Linked DNA regions of Rhinolophus ferrumequinum. The protein of the gene in region 1 purifies or fractionates together with the protein of each later gene. This does not show direct contact. Links are inferred from orthologs where the notes say so. Each region holds a gene or a part of one and is shown on either strand. Other genes may lie near its edges.

Evidence for each region.
Region 2: the proteins of PKMYT1 (region 1) and CKS2 purify together in Homo sapiens (affinity purification with mass spectrometry; 3 studies listed by BioGRID and IntAct, counting the BioPlex papers as one, with this or other methods). This does not show direct contact. The link is inferred for Rhinolophus ferrumequinum from reciprocal best matches to the Homo sapiens genes PKMYT1 and CKS2.

The regions. Positions count from the first base shown.
Region 1 is NW_022680357.1:4,482,195-4,492,914, forward strand, and holds the start of PKMYT1 (membrane-associated tyrosine- and threonine-specific cdc2-inhibitory kinase), read right to left. Parts: upstream 4,837-10,720; 5' UTR 4,652-4,836; intron 4,262-4,651; exon of another isoform or gene 4,154-4,261; intron 2,301-4,153; exon of another isoform or gene 2,283-2,300; intron 143-2,282; exon of another isoform or gene 1-142. Other genes in the region: GREP1 (glycine rich extracellular protein 1), read left to right, coding at 10,368-10,434, 10,628-10,660. UniProt on the Homo sapiens protein: Acts as a negative regulator of entry into mitosis (G2 to M transition) by phosphorylation of the CDK1 kinase specifically when CDK1 is complexed to cyclins. Mediates phosphorylation of CDK1 predominantly on 'Thr-14'. Also involved in Golgi fragmentation.
Region 2 is NC_046295.1:4,647,514-4,658,459, reverse strand, and holds the start of CKS2 (cyclin-dependent kinases regulatory subunit 2), read left to right. Parts: upstream 1-5,612; 5' UTR 5,613-5,766; coding exon 5,767-5,825; intron 5,826-9,611; coding exon 9,612-9,739; intron 9,740-10,946. UniProt on the Homo sapiens protein: Binds to the catalytic subunit of the cyclin dependent kinases and is essential for their biological function.

The DNA.
Region 1 (10,720 bases):
CTGAGAGGCAGAATACAGAACAGTGTGGCCACTCAAATAGCGCCTTGTCCTGTGGCCCCAGAAAGGCTGTGGAGGAAAGCCGCGTCTATTCTGCACACATGTTCTGCTTTAAACCTGGCAGCCGTGGGCACACAAGCACCTGCTGGGAAAAGGCAGAGGACAAATATATACACGCCTGCACATGCATCTGTACCTGGAGGTCAGAGAAACATAAACTGAATTGCACGGGGCCATATCCTGGAGGCTTCTACAGTCCATCCGAGGTTGAATCAAGGCAGGTTCTGGAGCCAGGCCACCTGCACATACTTCCCTGCCTCCTCACAACCGCTATTTGACTTTAAAACATGCAGCCTCTTCCAAGACTGTGAGGCGGATATATGCACACAGGGCCACACTTCCTTAACTTCAATTCCAAAGTAAAAAAAGAAGGTCTGATTCCAAAAGTTTCTTCTTTGCTTTCTTATTCATAGTTGGGATGCTGAAACTCATGTAATGGAGTTCCACTCCAGTTCCATGTTGCAGTGGCTAAATTCCAGCTGGGTATAGCGGAGAAGCCGAGTCTCCCTCCTTCCACCAGCCTCTACTAATAGCGTGGGAGCTCTGCCTCAGGTCCAGCAGGCTGGGAATACTGCAGCCCAATCCCTCGAGCCCCAGCTCCTTCCTAGGAAGGAGGTTCCACATTGAGAGAGGCAAGCCTAAGGTAGCAGTGTCACTCAGATGGGTATCACTGTCCCTGCCCCATCTCCAGAGCTGCAGCTCAGAGATTCTGCTTGGGGCAGAGGAAGGTCATAAAACAGACAGCTCCAAAGCCCTCCCTTCAAAAAACTGACTATATTTGAAACAGTGTGGGAAGTTCAAGTTGAAAGGTGCTCTCAGAATCAGTGGAGGTTGGGTAGTAAGCAAATAGGAGGAAGCTGGTGCCTCCATTAGCGCAACAAGCTACACCATGGGCAGGCTAGTTTACCAGAGAGAACCGCGGAAAGAGGTAGTTAAGAGCCTTTCCAGAGTCAGAACAACTTCCAACACTGAACTCAAAAGCGCCCTTCTAAAGGAGTCCAAATTTAATTGCATCAGTCTATGGAGCAATTGATGACCCAGGGTAAAAACAATAGAGCAGACAGCCGGCAACTGGGGAAGCGTAACAGGTGGATGTGATTAGGGAAAGGACAGTCAAAGAGAGCCCCCCCTAAAACCACTGGTGTCCCAGGGTAACTGTGCACAAGCCCCACGCTGGGCCCTCTGAGGAGCAATGTCAGAGGCTTCATATTGCAGAAAGATGTGTCACTACAATGATCTAGGTAGTCACTAAACAAATAGACAAGCAAACAACAATCACAAGTCCCCGAGCGGGTGAGGAACCAGGATCCACAGCTGCTAAAACATTATGTAAAATGTCCAGTTTTCAACCAAAAAAACTAGAAGATATGCAAAGACACAGGAAAGTGTGACCCACACACAGGAAAATAGACAGCAGAAACTGCCTGTAAGATGGACCAGATGTGAGATTTAACAGACAGACTTCAAAATAGCCGCTATAAATATATTCAAAGAACTAAAGGAAACCACGCTTACAGTAAAGGAAGCATGATGACAATATCTCATCAAATGGGAAATATCAATAATGAGATAGAAATTATTAAAATAACCAAATGGAAATTGTAGAGTTGAAAAATGCCATAACTGAAATGAAAAAATTCACTGGAGGGGTTCAACAGATTTGAGGCAGAAGAAATAACTAGTGAACTTGAAGGTAGGTTGATAGAGATTGTGCAATCTGAAGAACAGAGAGAAAAAATGAAGAAAAAGGAACAGAGCTTCAGAGAAATGTAGTGTACCAATATAGGCATAATGAGTGTCCCAGAAAGAGAGAAGGAGCAGGAAATATATGCTAAGAAATAATGGATAAAAACTTCCCAAATATGATTTAGAAGAACATTAACAGAGCCAAGAAGTGCAATGAATTCAAGTAGGATAAATGCAGAGATCCACACACAGACACATCATATTAAAAGTGCTGAGTGAACCAAAACAAGGAGAAAATCTTGAGAGCAGCAAAAGAAAAATGACTCATCACTTACAAGCCTCTCCATAAGATTAACTGCTGAATTCTCATCAGAAACAATGGAGGCCAGAAGGCAACAGGATGACATTCCAAGTGCTGGCGGGGAGGAGGGAGATTTGTAAACCAAGAATCCTGTATCTAACAAAACTATCTTTCAAAAATAAAGGCAAAATAAAGACATTCACAGATAAACAAAATAAAGAATTCATTGCCAACAGACCTGCTTTACAAGAAAAAGTAAAGGAAATTCTTCAGGCTGAAAGCACTGATCCCAAATAGTAATTCTAACCTACATAAAAAAACAAAGATCACCGATTAGGATAAGTATGTAATATAAGACAGAATAAATACATATTTCTTCTCCCTTCTTCTCTTAACTGATTTAAAAAGAATATGTATGTAATTGTATTGTTGAGCATATAACAGAGAAATGTAATATACTTGCAAATAACAGCACAAAGGAGGTGGGTGGGAACAAAACTATATTGGACTAGAAAATGACACCAGATGGTAACTCAAACCCACAGGAATAAATGAAGAGAACGAAAAGTGGTGAATAAGGTCAACATAACAAATATTATGGATATGTACGCTCTTTCCTTTTCCCCCTCAGCTTAAGAAATAAACAACAACCTAAATAAACAGAAAGACATTACATGTTCATAGATCCAAAGACTTAATATGAATGAAATGGCAATACTTTCCAAATTGATCTACGGATTCAGTACAATCCTTATCAGAATCCCAGCTGGATTGTTTGCAGAAATTGACAAGCTGATCCTAAAATTCATATAGACATTCATAGGCCCCAGAATAGTCAAAACAAAACAATCAAAATGAAGTTGGAGGACTTGCACTTCCCAACTTCAAAACTTACTTCAAAGCTACAATAATCAAAACAGTGTGGTACTCACACAAGGATAGATATATATATCAATGCACTAAAACAGAATTCAGAAATAAACCCTCACATTTCTAATCAATTGACTTTGACAAGGGTGCCAAAACAATTGTGGGAGAGAATAATCTTCTCAACAAATGGTGCTGGGACAGCTAGATATCTATATGCAAAAATCATTTAGCAGAAAAATCTGGTCTGACCTACTTTTTTCCTCTCAGTGTGAATATTCATAGATTTCTTGACAGAAATATTAATGTGTTTAATTGTTGGATGATGTCCCAGACTCATGGGTGGTGTTACATATAAATGTTATATGCACCCTATTAGCTTTCTAAAATCTGACATATTTTGAATTCTGAAACACTCCTGGCCTCAAGAGTTTGTGGACCTGTAATGCTGAAGTCAGGGAAGGCTCAGCCCAGTGTCTGGCATGCAGAGTCCTCAATAAATGCTATATAATTATTCATTATATAATAAATAATATATAATAAATAATGCTCTGAGTAGTCATTGAGAGAACACACAAAGTTGCAATGGTCCCATGGGTGTAAGTGACTGTGTATTGGAGCAGAGATACACAAAGATTGTGTATCTGCACCCGGCTGCTGTGTTATTACACAATTACATTGTAATTGAAACAAAAACAAGAAAACAAAAGGGAGAGGAGTTTAATTTTTGAGAGAAAGGCAGTGTATCAAAAGATGCCATACCCAACAAGGGGTGAGTCAGTAACTGAAAAGGGGGCAGTCATCTGAAGTGTGCCCTCCTGTCCCTGGGCGAGTGAGGGCTGAGGGAGGGACCCCCAACAGTGCCATCCTGGAAGGCTCACCCTACATAATGTGTGGACCTTTCCTCTGCCCCTTTTACCTCAGGAATCCTACGGGTTTCTCAAAGTAAAGAACTGGAATGTCAGGATCCCCAGGACGCTGGTTAGAAGCTGGTTAGAAGTATGTACAGCCTCCAGGCGCAGTCCTGGCACATTCTGAGACACTTAAATCTTTTAAGATCTGCATCTTAAACCAGTTGTCAGACCATCCCACTTTCATTTACATTCTAGCACCACTGGCCTGGCCAAACAGCTTTGGGGGTGGGACAGGGAAGGTAGAAGGAGCAGGAGCTCCCGGGAGAATCCAGGGTGGCCCTGAGCAGAGGACGGGCCAGGTGACCTCTGCAGCTTCCACAGGCCTCACCCTCTCACTGGGCTGGACACATCTGCTGACCACGGTCTACCACGCTAGACTGTGAGCTCCTCGCGGGCAGGCCCACAGCTGATTCACCTCCGTGGGCGTGGGGAAACCCTGGCGAACAGAGTAGACCGACTGTCACGGGGGAGGGGCTGTAGGGGGAACGTGAGTGGGGCTTTTCCTGGGGAGGGCCAAATAAGGGAGGGCAGTCGCTAGGGGAAGGGGTTACCAAATGAAAGGGGACAGGGAGGCTGGGGAAGGAGAGAGGGCAGCAAGGGGACTCGCCAGAGAGGCTAGAGGGGAGTGGGAGGGGCCGCCCGGGGCTGGACTGGCCCAGAGAGGGGTTAGCAGATGGGTAGGGCAGAACCCAATTCGACAGGGAAGGGGGGCTGTAGGAGGGGGATGAGGAAGGAGGCTGGAGCGGGGTGAGGCTGACGAGAGGGAGGAGGAGAGGAGGGGAGGGCGGTCCGGCTCGAGAACCCTCAGGGCCGGGCCTGGGCTCACCTGGGGCGAGAGGGCGGGGAGCAGCTCCGCGAGGTCCCAGATTCTGGGTCGGCAGAGGTCGCGGGAGACCTCGGGGGCGGTCAGGAGGGCTGAGGTCTGCCGTCGACAGCTCTCTACGACGGGGCAAGAGGACTCTCTGGAGGGGGAACTGCCCGTGAACGCGCGCGGAACTGACTCGCGCCAAAAATTCCAAACCGGAATCGAGGCCCCGCCCAAGAACTCCTCTTGCCCTGCCCCCTTCCCGATGCAGCCCATCAGAGGCGCCCAGCCTCCTGGGGCTCCGCCCCCTACGTCCCTGCGTGCGGGTCGCCGACCACGCCCCCCAAGCGCCTCAGCCCTTGCGCTCTCATTGCGCAGGCGCAAAGTGTCCTTGGCGCCGGCCCGGGGGCGGGAGTGGCCGCACCGCAGGGCCTGGAGGCTGAGGCGCTGCGCCCGGCCTGAGCCAGCTTTGTGCCCCTTCCGCCCGGTTCTCGGAATGTCGACCGACCCCTAGTTCGCTGTCCCAAAACCCACGTCTCTCGCTGGGCTGACAGTATTCGCGTCTGTAAAAGGAGTGGTCACCGCATTTTGCCCCAGAGGTGTCGCCTCAGGAGGCGATCACCTCAGGGTAGGACTGGAAGTCCCTGCGGCCTCTGGGATCCTGACGGGGCGGAGTCCCCTGGGCTCGCAGGCTCCCCCCTCACACCTGCAGTGCACCACACCGGGGATGTCATGGGCAGGCCAGATAGACATTTCCCCGACCCGCGGAACGCGCGGCTTCTGCTTCAGGAACCAGAACATTCTGCCCCTCTCAGGAAGCCCCCTAGACATCCAGGCCGGATCCCTCCCTACTTCCAGGGCTCAGCCACCTCCGAGGCAGCCCTTACCATCGTTTGGATTTGAGCCTTGAGTTCAGCTCACAGCTACCTCAACTGCTTCCTGGCGGAATGACCTTGGAATGTACTAGGGCCTGAGATTCAGATTAGTCTCCTCTCCCGTGAAAACTGAGCTGGTGAAAGTTACCTCACGGAGCTGGAGGTTCATATGGAATGATCCCCTTAAAGTTCTCAGCAGGGGAGCAGCACAGAGCAGGCGCTGATTCCTAACCTTAGTGCTGCAGGCGTTGCTCCTTCACGGACAGCATCTTTTATCCGTTGAACAAGGCAGGGGGGAGTCACGCTTCCAGGCCATCCTCCCTAGAACCCTCCACATCTCATCATATATCCTTTCCTTTGCGGATTGCACTTATCTCTGTCTGAAATTCTATCCTCTTGGTTCACCCTTTGACCACCCCTCCACCAAGTCTGCAAAGTCAGGGACTGCAGGGTTCCCAGCCCACTGCGCTCCTGCCCTTCAGCGAACACTCTCCAGTTAATGGACCAGCCCGTCCCACATCAGGCCCAGAACTTCTCTGGGGCCTGCAGCCCCCACCCCCTCCATGCACCGGTCCTTTGCACTAGCACCTCTGGCAGCCACAGCCCCTGTGACTCAGACTGAACCCCTGTTAAGGACCCCAGACTTGTCCCCAGGAGGCCTGAGAAGAAGGCAGGCCCCTCCCCAGCTACCATCCCCTCTGCCAGCCCCATCTCCAGGACTTTGGGACTCAGGCCCCTTTCCAACTGCTCATTCTTGGAAGTTATTCACAATGACTTAAAAAAAAATTATACATACATATATATATATATATATATATATATATATATATATATATATATATATATATATATATTTCTTTTTAATTCAAAACATGCTTCCAATGGACATTTCACTGTGTGGAAGGGATATAATGTAAAGCTAAGTACAGATAGCAGGTAAGAGCATGGGTCATAGAGTCAGGGCAATTAGGGCTCCTATGCCACACAAAAGCTGTGCAATCATGGGCAAGTTGCTTTATGTCTCTGGGCCTGTTTCCACATTTGTAAAATGGGGATAATAATAGTTCTTACCTTCTTGGGGTATGAGCATTAAATGAGAAAATGCATGTGAAATGCTTAGCACAGAACCTAGCACACAGAAGGAGCTTACTCTCTTTAATAATAACAGTAACACTCCCTCATTTGTATAGTATTTTGCAGTTTTCAAAGCAGCTTCCTGGTTCAAAAGGAGGAACCTGGAGGAGAGGGGCCGGGACTTTTGCACCCGGGGTCACAGGGATTCGAGACCAAAGCGCTTGGCTGGGGATCAGTCCAGGAAGAAACCCCCAATCCCGGCCCAGGCGCGGGATTCCCGGGGTCCGGTCGCACACCCAGGTAAGAGCCGGTTTGGGCCGCGCACGCCCCCATGTGTCCCGTCGCGGCAACAGCACCGCGACCCCGCCCGGACTACCCCCCCCCCTCCCCCGCCACACACACACCGGGATGTCCCTTCAGGGATGGGGCCACAAAACAGGATACCGTGAGATAAGAAAGGTAAGGAAATGACGGCCACTTACGCAAACCTGGCTACATAGCAGGAAAGAGGAGATCGTGATGGGTACTTCTGGGGAATCTGGCCTTGTTCTATTTTTTGACCTTGGAGCCAGCTGCATAGGTGTTTGCTTTAATAGATATTTATTATATTGTACATTTCTGTTTTATGCACGCTTCGGAATGTATGCCATATTTCACACTGGCATAAGGTTTTAATAAACTAACAAGTGGGTGAGGAGAAGAAGTTAACAAAGGTCAGCTTTGCACAGTGCAAGTGCTTAGGGATGCCTGGGAAAGTGTCTCAGAGATGCTAATCCCGCGATTGGGGCTGAAGAGCTGCCAGATAGATTGCTGAAGGGGCGACCTAAGGAGCCTTTAGTATAGCTGCGGGTTCAGAAGGTGTCTGCCCTGCAGGCGCCTGGCCACCCCTCCAGCTGTCATCCCCAAATTCCCACCCTGGCAGGTGCTGCTACCATGAGCAGCTGGCTGGGAGTCTACTGACACAGGCTGTGCCATTTTAGGCGATGTACTTCCTGGGCCTCCATCTTGAACTTTTAACACCCCAGCTGTCACCTTGTCCTGGGCTTCTAGCTCTACCCGTCAAAGTTGCTCCTGTAGCCAGAGCCTGGGCCATGTGCCCTCATGCCTGGGGGTAAAGGGTAACTCAGGTCCAGGCTCCATCAGGGGTTCTTTTAGCCCCCAAGTGGTTGATGCGCTCTTAGGCCCTCCTTGCCTGGGTAGAGCTGGGGCTGAGCTGACGGGATCGGCTGTGCTGGAAGTGGGGGTGTCAGCAATGCAAGGGCTGTGGGTACCCAACTGGGCCCAGCCCTGGTCCTGAGTGGCATCAAGCTGGCCCAAGGCCCCTGGCTGGCTGACTGGCATTTCCCACAGGCCCATGCCAGCACCCAGGCAGCCTGGCACTGGTGGCGGGCACCAGCATTCCCTCTAGCAGTGGCCAAGCAGGCACCCGGCCTGTACCTCCTGCATGGCCCCTCCTGGTCTTCCCGCCTGCCTCCTCTTGTGCCAAGTTTCCCTGGCACCCTGCAGGGTGAGCTGACTGTCTGTGTGTCTGGGTCTGTGTGGGGGGCCCTCAGCTATCCCAGGTCTGAAACAGATACCTTGGGCCCAGACTGGCATGAGGCAGGCAAAGAGCAATGCAGTGTCTGGGGCAACTGGTCTTGTTGCTGCCCAGAAGTGTGTGGAGTATCAGAGGGCAGAGGACGGTGGACTCAGGGGGCGCTGTACACTGCCAGGCTTCAAATCCCAGCCCTGCTGCTTAGGGGGTATACAATCGGAGCTAAGTCCCTTCTCCTCTCTGCCTCTGTTTCCCCATCTATAAAATAGGGTCCAAAGTAGCTCCCCCAATAGCCCTAACACGGTGGTACCATTAGTGTCGTAATTTTAAAGAGAAAACAGACTCAGGGAGGGCAGATTCCTGCTCAAGCTCCCCAGCCAGGTAGACTGAGTACTTGAAGCCAGTCTGAATCCGAATCCAGCACCCAGCCTGCTAACCATGAGGCCACTCAGCTGCCCTCCATGAGGATACCAGGGAGCCAGTACCTCCTGCCCTGGGGAGAAGCAGGTGGCCTGGCAGAAAAGCCCTCTCCAAGGAGCCTGCCTGGACTGTCCTAGGTATTCCAAGCTCTCATGGGTGGTTGGAGTCAGGGGCCACCCCTGAGCCACTCCCAGCAGCCAATGGCAGGTCCAGCCTCCAGGACTCCGGGTCACGGCTCTCTGCTGGACAGGGCAGGAGGTGGGTATGTGGGGTGCTCTGCCAGGGCATTGGGCTGAGAGGACCCAGCCGGAGCCTTGTGCAAAGGTGGGTCTATGGGTACCATGGGTAGGGTTGTATGTGTGTGTGTGCACGTGCACATGCCCTCAGACAAGCATGATCCCTGGCTGTGGGCCCTCGTGTGTGGGGAGAAAACACAGCAGGGGTACAGCCCAGGGTGGGTGTGCAGGCACAGCTCAGTGTTGGGGGAACTATAGGTGAGCGGGTACTGGGGAAAAGCCCTGCAGTCCAGTGAAGGCTGGATCTGCCCCCATAGGTGTTGTGGGCTCAGAGGCCTCACACAAGAAACAACACCCCCCGGCTGCCTACTCCTCACTGAAGCCCCTCTCGAGGTCCCCCACTCCGCCAGGCCGCCTGGTTTGGCAGGCCGGACTCCTTAGCCACAGGTGCCAGGAGGCGCTGGCAGGGCAGGGGGCAGGCCAGCAGATACACAGGGTGTTGGGCCTTCTGGACTAGAGTCCAGGAACTGAGTCATTGCTGTCCCCAGCCCACCTAGTGGGATCCACAGACTCACTGGAGGAGGGGAAGGCTGGTATCCAGACCCCCAACTCCTGGCATTTCCCAAGCCGGCCTCTCCTGCCCTCCCAACTTGGCTCCCCACCAAGCCCCCTATGCCTGGTTCAGCTCCATTTGCCCACCCTCTAGGAATGGAAAGTGGTTACTAGCCCCCCAGGCACCCATTTTTGCAATCCTGCCCCCACCAAATCCTGAGCAGTGGCCCCCTGAGCTTCTGTTCCCAAAAATTAGAGCCGGTGCTGCTGGAGTTCAGCAGCAGATGGAGGTGAAGCTCGGAGGGCCTCCTGCTGCAGGTGGGCCCTGATGGAGTCTTCAAGAAACAGCAAGGATCCTTGGACAAGCCTGAGCCTTGGGTGACCCGTTCCTGTAGTTACTGACCCTCGTGGAAGGGAGGCTTCAGGCCCACTTTCAGCCTCAGGTGGGAACAAAAGGCCATCTCCCCGTGTCATAACTGTGGCCTTCAGGGTTAATAGTCTCTCTTCTTGTAGGTAAGTCTACTTGTCAGATACAATTGGCTACAGTTACCTCGCCCCAGGCCTTTGTAACACTGTGGCCTCTGCCTTCTCTCTCTCTCTCTCTCTCTCTCTCTCTCTCTCTCTCTCTCTCTCTAACACAGTAACTCATTCTGAGTCTCCCCTGCCAGTCACACCCACATTTCTGGGCCTGGCTCCCCCCTCTCCCCAGCTGTGTTTGGGCTGGGCCAGGGGTGCCCCCTGGTGCCTGCCTGCTCTCACCAGCTGAGCCTCCAGACCTGGCGCCAGGGCCCCAGGCCCTGACAGGGGTGGAGGAGGCTTGGGGGCCAGGTGGGGGCCTGTCCTGGCTGTCAGCGCCCATGATGGATGAGGGGTGGGGCGGGGGAAAGGCCAAGGACTGGATTCCTGCTCTAGAGGGAGGTGGGGTCTGGCCCCCTGGGATCTGACAGCAGAGCCTCTGCCAGTGGGGAGGCCTGGGTGAGGGCCCCCACCCAGCAGAGGTGTTTAAAGGCGGGAAGGCTGTGTGCCCTCCCACTCTGCCAGGCATCATGGGCACCTGGGCCTTCCTCACAGCCCTTTTCCTGCTCTGCCTGACTTCTGAAAGTCTGCAAGGCGGTGAGGGCAGGCGGCTGGCAGCTGCAGGGTCTGGGCAGCTGGGGTTGAGGCTGCGGGTCTTGGTAGAGCATTGGGTCAGAGAGAGGGAGGATCGGGTGTGTGAAGTCTGGGCTGAGTAGGATTTGGGGAGGCTGGGTCCTGCTCCTCTGTCTCTGGGGTCCCTGCCTTGAGTCAGCACACCCCTGCTCCCCAGGGCTGCCTCGGTTGTCGCCTGGCCTAGGGAAAGGTGAGTGCATCCTCCTGGCCCTGGGGTCCAGGAAGAGGACCTAGTCTGTCCCTAGTCTGG
Region 2 (10,946 bases), on another chromosome or scaffold:
TCAATTCTTTGCTTTCTCTCTTCTTCTGGTTCTCCTATGATGCGAATGTTGGTACACTTGATGTTATCCCAAAGATCCCTTAAACTATCCTCATTTTTTTGGATTCTTTTTTCTTTTTGCTGTTCTGTTTGGGTGTTTTCTGCTACCTTAGCTTCTAAATTGTTGCTTTGATCTTCTGCTTCATCTAATCGGTTGTTTATTTCATCTAACGTATTCTTCATTTCGGTTATTGTATTCTTTATTTCTGACTGTTGTTTTTTTTTTGTTTTCTATCTCTAGTTTTATATATCCTATCTCTTTGTTGAAGTTCTCCCTGAGATCATTGAGCATCCTTATAACCAGTGGTAGATTACTTGTCTCCATTTTGCTTAGTTCTTTTTCTGGAGCTTTGTTCTGTTCCTTTATTTGGGACATGTCTCTTTGTCTCCCCATTTTGGCTACCTCCCTGTGTTTGTTTTTATGTATTAGGTAGGGCTACTATGTCTCCCAGTCTTAGTAGAGAGGCCTTATGTAGTAGATGTCCTGTAGGGCCCAATTGTGCAGTCTCCCTGGTCACCTGAGCAGGATGCTCCAGGTGTGTCCCTTATGTGGGTTGTGTACACCCTCCTGTTGTAGTTAAGCCCTGTTTGCTGTTTGCATATCAATGGGAAGGATTGATCCTTGGGCTGATTGAATGTGAGAACTGGTTGTGACTACAGTGGAGGAGCTGTTGTGCAGGGGCTGACCCTATGGAGTAGAATTGTTTAGCAGGGCTCTGGTGCCTGCCCAGTCTGCCCTTTGGGTGTGTTATCCCTGTTGGTGACAGGGTGTTGCTCCAGCTGGGTCCGAACCTGATGTGCCAGTCCTAGAGCCTTCTGGGAGGAGCCCCACTGCAGTCCAAATTCAGCCACAGCCTGTGCTCTGCCAAGGGCCACCTAGCATGAGCCATAAAGTAATCTGCAGATGACTACCACCTGTGCTGGGAGACTAGTGAGAGGCAGACTGGGTCAGGTCTGGGAACCAGAGGGTTGTGAAAACCATGGCAAAGAACCTACCTGGGGAGGAGTAAGAGGCAGGGCTTCATGTGAACTGAGGCTTCCAACCCTCAGTACAGGCTCCCTTGTGCCATTTACAAACAGAGCAACTTCACTTACAAAACACAAATTTAAAGATTAAATTGTTAAGAATTTCCAGACATGACAGCAGAGCTTTAAATCCCAAGTGCAGGGTCCTATGTGATTGTACTCACTTTTTAAATCAGCATTATTCTTGCCTAATAGAATAAACTTCATAAAACTTGAAAGTTTGGTAAAATTCTTCTATAAAGCCATTTGGGTCTAGTGTCTTCTTTAGGAGAAGACTTTTAATTACTGCTCCAATTTAATAGATATAGGATTCTTCAGTCTTCTTGTGGTTTCTTGAGCCAGTACAGGAAGACAGTAAAGGCAAAGCACATGAAGGAAAAACAGAGAGACCAAGCAGAAAATAGTAAAATGGCAGACTTAAAGCCTAACATCAATAATTACATTGTGTAAATGGTCTCAAACACCAATTTAAAAACAAAGATTGGAAAAATGGATAAAAAATTTTTACCTAACTATATAATGCCTACAAAAAATTCACTTCAAATATAATGATATAGGTAGGTTAAAGGTAAAATGATGTAAAAAGCTATAGGACACAAAGCCCAATCAAAAGTATGGTGGAATAGCTATATTAATATCAGAGTAGACTTCAAGGCAAAGAAAATTACCAGGACAAATTGGGACATTACATAATGATAAAATATCTATTCACCATGAAGACCTAGCAACCTTACATGCATCGAGTAACAGAGCTACAGAATCCATGAAGCAAAAACTGACAGAACTAAAAGGAGAAGCAGTGTAGGGACTAAGCCCTATGGTACTCTCACATTTATAATAATCAGTTAGAGACCAGGATGGGCCAGTACAGGCATAAGGGACAATCTTGAACATCCTTTCAACAGAACACTAAAGACCTCGTAAGAGCTATGAAATGGCCATTCATGTCAGTGGAATCCCAGAAGGAGAGTGAAAAAGCAAGCTGTAGAATATTTTATAAAGTAAGAATATGCATATATTCTAGTTCTGAGAGTGATACATCTGAATTAGGTATAGGAAAAAGTCTACGTAAATAATATACCATATTGTTTTCAGTGGTTAAATCTGTGATCTGGGGTTGTTGGGTAAGAAGCAAGTAGGCATCTTACTTCTGATATTGTAAATTTCTTTTAAATTTTGTAAGAATAATTTTTATTTCTGTAATTTTCAAACATAAATTGAATATAACATACTAGGAAGAGTGCTCAATAAGTATTTGCTGAATGAGTGAATATGGACCAACTACGGCAATTTTGCAAATGAATTTTGTCACTGCACTAATGGCCTGTTAGTGGGGTAGGAAAGTTCTAGATACTTGTTGGAGATCCATGATAACTCGAGCATGCTCTAATCTTACCAGTTGCCTTTTTACCATGTAAACACCAATCAAAACCTAAACTTCCTGTTTGAAAGGAAGCAGGGCTTGTTTGAAAGACCCACTTCAAAAAAAGCAGAAATCCAATCCCTGTTGGTTCTAGCTTTGAAATTGCAAGTCTGTCCCTTCCTACTCAAACTCATCCTATCAACAGTAATAACTTTGTAACAGGGTGTCCCTGTTAAGGACATTCCTTCCAGTCTATCCTCCACATTCCTCTCATTACCTTTGTCACATCTGATCTGACTGTGCCACTTCCTTGCTGAAAACATTAGCTGGCCCTACGTTAATAAAAATGACCAAATTTCTTAGCAAAAAATCCCTCCCCAGTCTGGCCCAATCCATTATATTGGTTTCCTATTGCTGTTTTGACAAATTACCACAAACTTAGTGGCTTAAAGCAAACACAAATTTATCATCCAATATTTCCAGAGGTCAGAAGTCTGAAATACGTCTTAAACAGGCTAAAATTTAGATGTTAGCAGAGAGGTGTCCTTTCTGGAGACTAGAGGACATCTATCCATTCCTTGCTTTTTCCAGCTTCTAGAGGCTATCTACATTCCTAGGTTCCTGGTGATGCCTCTCTGACTTCTTGTTACAGCTTTCTCTGACCCTCTTGTCTCCCTCTTATAAGGACCCTTGTAATACCATTGGGCCCTCCCAATAATCCAGTATAATCTATCTCAAGATCCTTAACTTAATCACATCTGCAAAGTCCCTTTTGATGTGAATACATTTGTAGGTTCCAGGGATTAGGATGTGGACATCTTTGGGGGCCATTTTTTTGCTTACCACATTCATCCTCCCAGATTTAATTCCCACAACTTTCCTTTCCATGACCTCTATACTCTAAACCAACCCCATTTAGCATTCTGTGCATATAGGAAGTTTCCTCACGCCTTCACCATGACAATCCTTCTATTGGAAAGGCAAGAGGTAGTGTATGATAGATTAAGAGGCCTAAGTCTGGAGTCAGACTGGGCTCATATCTGAGTCTGCCACTTACTTGCTAAATGGATTTGGACAAACTTTTGCTGTTGTTTGACCCTAGATCTAAATACCAGATTATAGGAAAAACAAAGTAAATTATACCATAGGAAGCAATTACCCAAATCCAGACTGTGGAATGTTCCACAGGCAAAAATGACCTGGTTTTTCTGATAAACCTATATTTAAAAAAGGTGGTCTGTCAGCAGAGGAGATTGTATAAAAACTTAAAGAGACAATAACCAAATTCGATGTGTAGGCCCAAGTTTGGATGCGGATCCAAACCAACCAACTATAAAAAAGGCATCTGTGAATCAGGGAAATCAATCTAAAACAGGTGTCAGAGAATGATGAAGAATTATTAAGTGTAATGACATGGTACTAAATGTATATTTTAAATTTTTTCTTGAGATGTACACCATAAAGACAGATATATATACAGAAGTATTATTTCAGAGTAAAATGGCATTATATTTGGGATATCTTTAAAGTTATTCTAGCAAAAAAAAAAAAAGAGAGAGGAATAGATAAAACAAGATGGGCAAAACGTTTATTGCTGAAGTTGAGTGACTGGTACATGGGAGTTGATTATACTATTGTATTTTTGTGTGTTTGAAATTTTCCACAATACATCTCTGTAAAAATACAGAGGGTGCCAAAAAATGTATACACATTTTAAGAAAGGAAAAAAACTATTAAAATTGTAATACTCGATGTATGCTGGTAACAAAAAATGAATACAAGTTATGTGTATATATATTTTTTGGCACCCCTGGTGTATGTCCTAGGAAACTTTTTTCCCAGGTTCTGCCAGACAGTTAGTGATTTCCTTATCCATCTACCTTAGCAGTTTATTCGTATTTTTACCAGCACATAATCACACCTGATTATTTGGGCATACATTACTATCACTTACTACTTAAAACTTATTGCTCATCATGTGCAAGAGACTCTACTATGTCCTGGGTAGAGCAGTGAATGAAAGACATGCCCTCATCACCGGGTTATGTAGGGGGGGCAGACAAAACCCCAGCAAGCATGCAACAAAGGACCAGTGGGTTGGAAACTCCAAAGACGCTAAGGAGGGACAGGAACGGGGAAAGCGGGGACTTCTTGAGCACAGGGTATAAGGAAGCCGTTTCAGGAGACTGATCCTTAACCTGAGAGCTGAAGGTGAAGGGCCACCGGGTGTTGGGTTGGGGGAGGGTAGCGGGCCCGTCTATGCTCTCACCTGTACTATGCTGCAACTAACACTGAATCAAGATCGTTACTACAAACATAACACATTCTCATTTAGGGAAATGTGAAAAATACAAAAAAGGTCACTTTTAATTGTCATCTAAAAAGAACCACTTACATCTTGGCATATTTCCTTCCAGTAACTTTATTTTACATGTGCATGTATTTTAAACTAGGGCTCAATACTAAGAGCCAAAAAGTTTTAAAAACCACTTTTAATCCCTTTGTCCGGTAGGAAACGTTATTATTTTAATAATCGTTTTTACATTTTGCATTAAGAAAAGCACGCGTATACACATGCTTATCTAGAGTTGTTATGAATTATGCTCAAGGCGTGGGAATACATGTTTTACCTCACGTCAGGCCTCTAGTGCTCAGCCCCGGCCCTATCGTTCACGCAGCACTCTTGCAGGGTTCTGAAGAGTTCCAGGCGGAACAACCTCGGCTTCCTCACGTTCCTACTCTCCCCAAAAAGCTGGGTGCCCTCAAAGTTCCCAAACCTTGGCTTTCCCTATCTTCTACAGACCTAGGACGCGGAACCCGGGAAATGCGCCCCGAGCCTGCGCCTGCGCACAAGCGGCCTCGCGGCGGGCAGCCCCGCCCTGGCATCGCCAAACACCGCGATATCTCATCCGTCCCACAAGTTCGTCGCCCTAACGGCTCTGCAGACCTGGAAAGTTCTAAACCCCCTGCACCCTTTCCTGGTCACGCCCCTTACGTCAGAGAGCTCCCCGCCTCCACGCCATGCCAATCATTCACTTCTTCCCTCGGGCAACCTCGCAACAAGCCACTGAGTGGCTGATCTTGGGAGTGAACGTCGCGGAGCAGCGGCAACGATAGGCTGGAAGCCGGCCCCGCCTTCCCGCAGTTTGCACAAAAGGTGATTGGTCGGCTTCTTTGTCCAATCAGCGGCGGGCTGTCGGATTCAAACCAGGATCGTTAGGCCTGCGGTCTGTTGGTTGCAGTTGAGTCGTTGCTTTGGCCGGACGCACACCTTCCCTCAGCTGCGCCCGCTCTTCCTGCCCGGTCGCTCCCCTTCCGCGCCGCCTACCTGCCGGCAGGATGGCCCACAAGCAGATCTACTACTCAGACAAGTACTTCGACGAGCACTACGAGTACCGGTAAGTGGGCCAGTGGGCGGGCTTCCTCAGCCGCTGCCCAGGGAGGGCCGGTGTTCGTGTGGGGGCCGGAGGTCGGGTCAAGGTCGAGGCCGGGAGTTGGAGTAGGGGCCTTGTGAGGATGGAAGCGTGTCGGGTTGTGGTCGGGGCCAGAGCGCGCCCCTTATTTCGCCTTTACGGGCACAGCCAGCCTCCCCTCTTTGTTCCGTCTGTGAGAAGGATGAGGCAGGGGCGGAGATGGGGGCCACTTCTGGTGACGAGTTGCTACCTTAAAGGGAACAGGCGGAAGGACCGAAGCGGACCCGGGTCCTCCGCCACGTCCAGTCGTCACTCGGGCTCTGGGCGGGCCAGTGGCCGACATCCAGCGGCGAGAGCCCTACTCCACCCGTGCCGCGGTGCCTAAGAACTTGCGAGCTAGTTGGCATTCTCGAAGTAGTTCCTCTCTCCCAGTCACTGTGGTGTGGAGGGTGGGAGAAACACTTTTTCTCCTTGCTTTTGAAGTTAGTGATGCTAAAAATGACTTTGAGGGGGAAACCCCGAAAACTTCGCTTTTTGGAATTTTTAAATGTTTATTGCGTATGGTGATTTGGGTAGGCGTTTGTGCGTTAACCATGATGACTTAAGGGCATTATCAAAGGGGTTTCACATTTAAGACTAAGTTGAGAACTCGTGTGGACTTTGGGCATTTGTGTGTGTGTGTGTGTGTGTGTCTCAGTATATACTGGCCAGATCTTCGCTTTGAGGAATTTTTGGTTTCTGAGTCGTGATGTGCTGCACTAGAACGTAGTTGCTAAAATTAATCTGTAAAATTAACAACTTGGATTGTGGGAGGGAAGGACCACTTCGTTTATTGGCCTTATTGTCTGCAGGAGACTTCCTTGGGGCGTGGCTTCAAAGACCAATCCTACCCTGTTCTCCTGGATGGTGACTAGGAAGCTGCATTTGGGGCCAAGCAGTGACCTTGTTTCTGCCTGCTGTCCTTTCAAGTTAGATTTCCAAGAATGCTATTTGAGGTAGAAAGGGCATAGTGTTTGCTCACTCTCTCTCTCTCCCTCTCTCTTCTTGTTGTATTGGAAGTCTGTATTCTCAGGAGAAAAACTGATGCAGTTTTACAGATTAGTAATACGTGCATTGTTTCATATTCTTAGCTAGAAAAATCTTGTTTTTCTGGATATAGATAAATTTGAAGTCGATCATCTTATTTTTATATAGTAACTACATGGTACAGTTTCAATCCTGTAATATATTGGCATAATGTTCAATTATGTGACATCGACCAAGAGCCCAGCTGGGGATATCCAATAGTGGACAGAATGTAAACTGTATTACGTTTCTAAAATATGGAAAAAATATTAATATTCTGAAACACATCTGGCTCTAGTAGATTAGGATACTTTTTAGGACTTCTGGCAGTTTCATTTTTTATTGTCAATATACTAACAATTATCGATGAGCACTTAAGTAGACTGCGCTGTCAAAATTTTAGCCTAACTGGTTTGTGTATACTAATGTGTAGAAGAAAATCCTGTCGTATCTGAAGTGATATATTCTAATCTATTATTAATTAAAGATAATGGTCCTTCTTGACCAAGCCACTTGCCTTACAGAAACAGCACAGTGATTAATCTCCAGAGATACTTTTAAAGGCAAGTTGATACTGATAATAAATCACTGAGGTGTGAGTCTAGGGTGGTTTGTATATGGTGGTGCAACATGCAATGTGAATTTCAAAAGTATTTATTTTTGCTAGTGTGCAGTTGCCTACATCTTTGTGTTTTGTAAATGCAAACTTAATTTCCTATTCCCTTTACTTAGGTTATTTTGTAAATGAACTTCAAAACTTAGTTCTGTTAAATACCGTCTGAAACAAGTATTATAGGGTTGTATGGATTTAAATTTATAAAAATTTTATGTTAGTATTTTTTTTTAAAAAAATCCTATCCACAACTGTTGTCTGCCCTCCTAATTGCATCTTTGTTGTAGCTCCTTTATATTGGCCTATATGTAGCTGTTTATATTGGCCTTTACCCTCCTCCCCTCCGTGACAAGCCCATGGTACTGAAATAAACACTTAGTTTTGGAAATAATTTTTCTTACATGTAGTTAGAAAACTATCTCCATGCAGTTAAATACAGGTAGAATTTCTATGTGAGCTTGAAGCTACTTATAAATTTTTCTTTTATAATCAAACTTGGATGAAGGTGAGCCTGTTCCCATGCTTTATGGAGAAGGTAGGGGTTGTGACTTCTATCTAAATAACATGTTGGTGCATTTATGTAGGTATACATAATAGTACAAGTTTAGTTAGCATTACATTTCTCTTTGAGACTAATCAACAATGTGATAGAAGTAAGATTATAGGTTATTTGCAGAGCCTTAAAAGGAGATGTTAAAGCAGCAATCCAAGAACGAATAAGGTAGCTGGTAAGTATTACTAAGAATCACCATGCAGTTCACTGGAATTGGTGAAATTTTAACCAGGATAGTATGCATAATTTGACTTGGCCTCATGGCAATCTACTTGCATAGCACAATTCTTCTAAGGTTTATTTTTGTTCTACATAAAATTGATACTTAACTAACCAGCCACAGATTGGCTTAGTTGCTGACAGATGAGTACTTACAATGGGTTCACTTTTCCTGTGTGCCAGAAAATAACCAGTTATACCTTTCTCACTTCTAGCCAACTGACTCACAGGTAGATATCCTATACTGGTCAAAAAAATTGGTTGAATATGTATGACTGTACAAAATTAGTACTACCTGGAAATGGTAAAAATAGGGCTGGGAGTTGTGATTTTTATAAAGATCTTTATATGTAATAAGGGGTGTACGGATTTGTCTTTGAGAATGTAACAAAGCTACAATTGTACATATTCTTGATGTTTTGACATTGAAGACTATCGCATACCTTCCTCAAAAAACTTAAGTTTTGGGTATAGGTCTAACTTAACTGGAAAACTAAAGGTCTGTGTCAGGTAGCAGGTACATATATATGTGTGATTAGTGTTTGTTTTTTATTCATTCTGAACAGAGTATAAAGCAACTTCTGCAGTATACAAGTAGATACAAGATTTGTATCTACTACAAATCTACAATGTTGAGTAATAGGAAACCCTAATTAACTAAAAAATTAGATATTTTTTTTCTCCTTATGTAAAAGGCTACATGAAGCTGGGATGACAGGTCTATAATCAGGGACTATCCTCAATTTACAATAGCTTCTGTGGTCTTGGATGGCTTCTCTAGCTCCCTGATCAGGTCATTCTGCTTCATAATCAACAGGAAGGAGAAAAAAGAGTATAGTTGGGCGTGTACTTTCCTTTTGAGGACACTTTCCATAAGTTAACCTATTATCTGTTTATATCCTATTGCCTAGGATTTAGTCACATGACCAGAGGTAGCTGCAGGGAAGGCTGGATGTTTTGGATAACTGTGTCCAACTTCATTTTGGGGGTTCTATTCCTGAAAAAGATTGAGACCAGTAGCAAGCCCTCTTTGTTGGGGGGAAAAGGTTAATCCTGAATAAGATGCCTTTTTGTTTTTGGATTGCATATTCTTATTATCTCCCTAATTTGAACATGGGCTATCAAAAATCAGAATTAAAGGTAGAGAATAGTTCTCAAGATCAATGCAAATTGACATAATACGACAATTGCTTTAAAGAACTTTGTTTTGAGGACAAAAATCTCAAATTTTAAACATCCTAAAGATGCGTGTATTAAGTGATCATAACTGTAAAAAAGGCACATTTGCAGAGTATTAATACTTGGCTATCTCTTAAAACAGGCATGTCATGTTACCCAGGGAACTTTCTAAACAAGTACCCAAAACCCATCTGATGTCTGAAGAGGAGTGGAGGAGACTTGGTGTCCAACAGAGTCTAGGCTGGGTTCATTACATGATTCATGAGCCAGGTAAGTTTTGTTATTGAAAAGCATTAACTGAATTAAAATAGCGGTTGTTGGAAATTTTTTGGTAATCTTGACATTCGGTGATATGCCAGAATAACTATTTTTGAATGACTGATTTCTTTCCCTCACTAGAGGGCTCCAATTTTATAGTAAATAAAATACCATGAGTGAAAAATAATGTATTTTTCTATCTGCAAAAAATAACTTGTCAAAAAACAAGCTTTTGTTTTATTTTAAAATATGTCATTGTTAATAGTATCTTAAAGTATTTTATCATAACTATATTTAGAATTCTGGTGGCCCCCCCCTTTGAAAACTAAGAACTTATTTTAAATAACTTAAATGCCCTTAAGTTTTACGTATAGAAATTGATGTGATTTGAGGTGATTTTTTTTTTTAACTTTAGAACCTTCCATGTTAAGATTAGAGGAGATAGGATAGCCAGTGATCTCAAATGTGCTGTTATGCATCATGAGTGCTTATGTTATTATGAAGTATTTACCAGAGAGTTTTCCAGGTACTAAACAGTAAACTAAAACTCTGTGGGGTTAAATTCTGCTTATGGGTTATGAGTAAATCTAACTTCAAGAATTTACAATGCCTTGAACAAAATTTGAAGGCATACTATAGAAGCTGCATTAAGTGGAACTAAAGCTATCTTGCTTTACACTCTTGTTAAAGAAAAGCAGCATCAAAAACTTAAGAGACAACTTTCTTTGGGGCCTGTAATCATATTCGAGTTCAGGAGTACTTTCTCCGGATAATACAAAAGCAACTGAGGAACTTAACTGTAGATTACTGGGCCCCCAACCTGCTGAAACAGAATCTACTGCTATGGGCCCCTGGGACCTGCAGTTTGATAAGCTAGTTTTTGAATGAGGTGTTAGGTGTCTTTTCCCCACAAAGAGCCAGACAGCCTTTCTCTGTATTTTTAACTGTAATTGAGAATGTAAAACCATTCTTCGCAAAGTAGCTTCTCTACTTACCGTCCCTCTTTTTTTAGGGTGGGTAGAACTCAACCACTAGGGACATATTTTTGTCAGGTTGTTTTTTTCTGTATACTGTTGACAGTGACTTTTAAGTAAAATTCATTTCAGATACCTCAATAAGTAACATTGACCATAGATTTATTTTATTTTGGTTCAGTTGAGAATTCTTTGAATTTTGGTTGGGTGAAATAATCATGTTACATTAAAATGATGTAAAACAT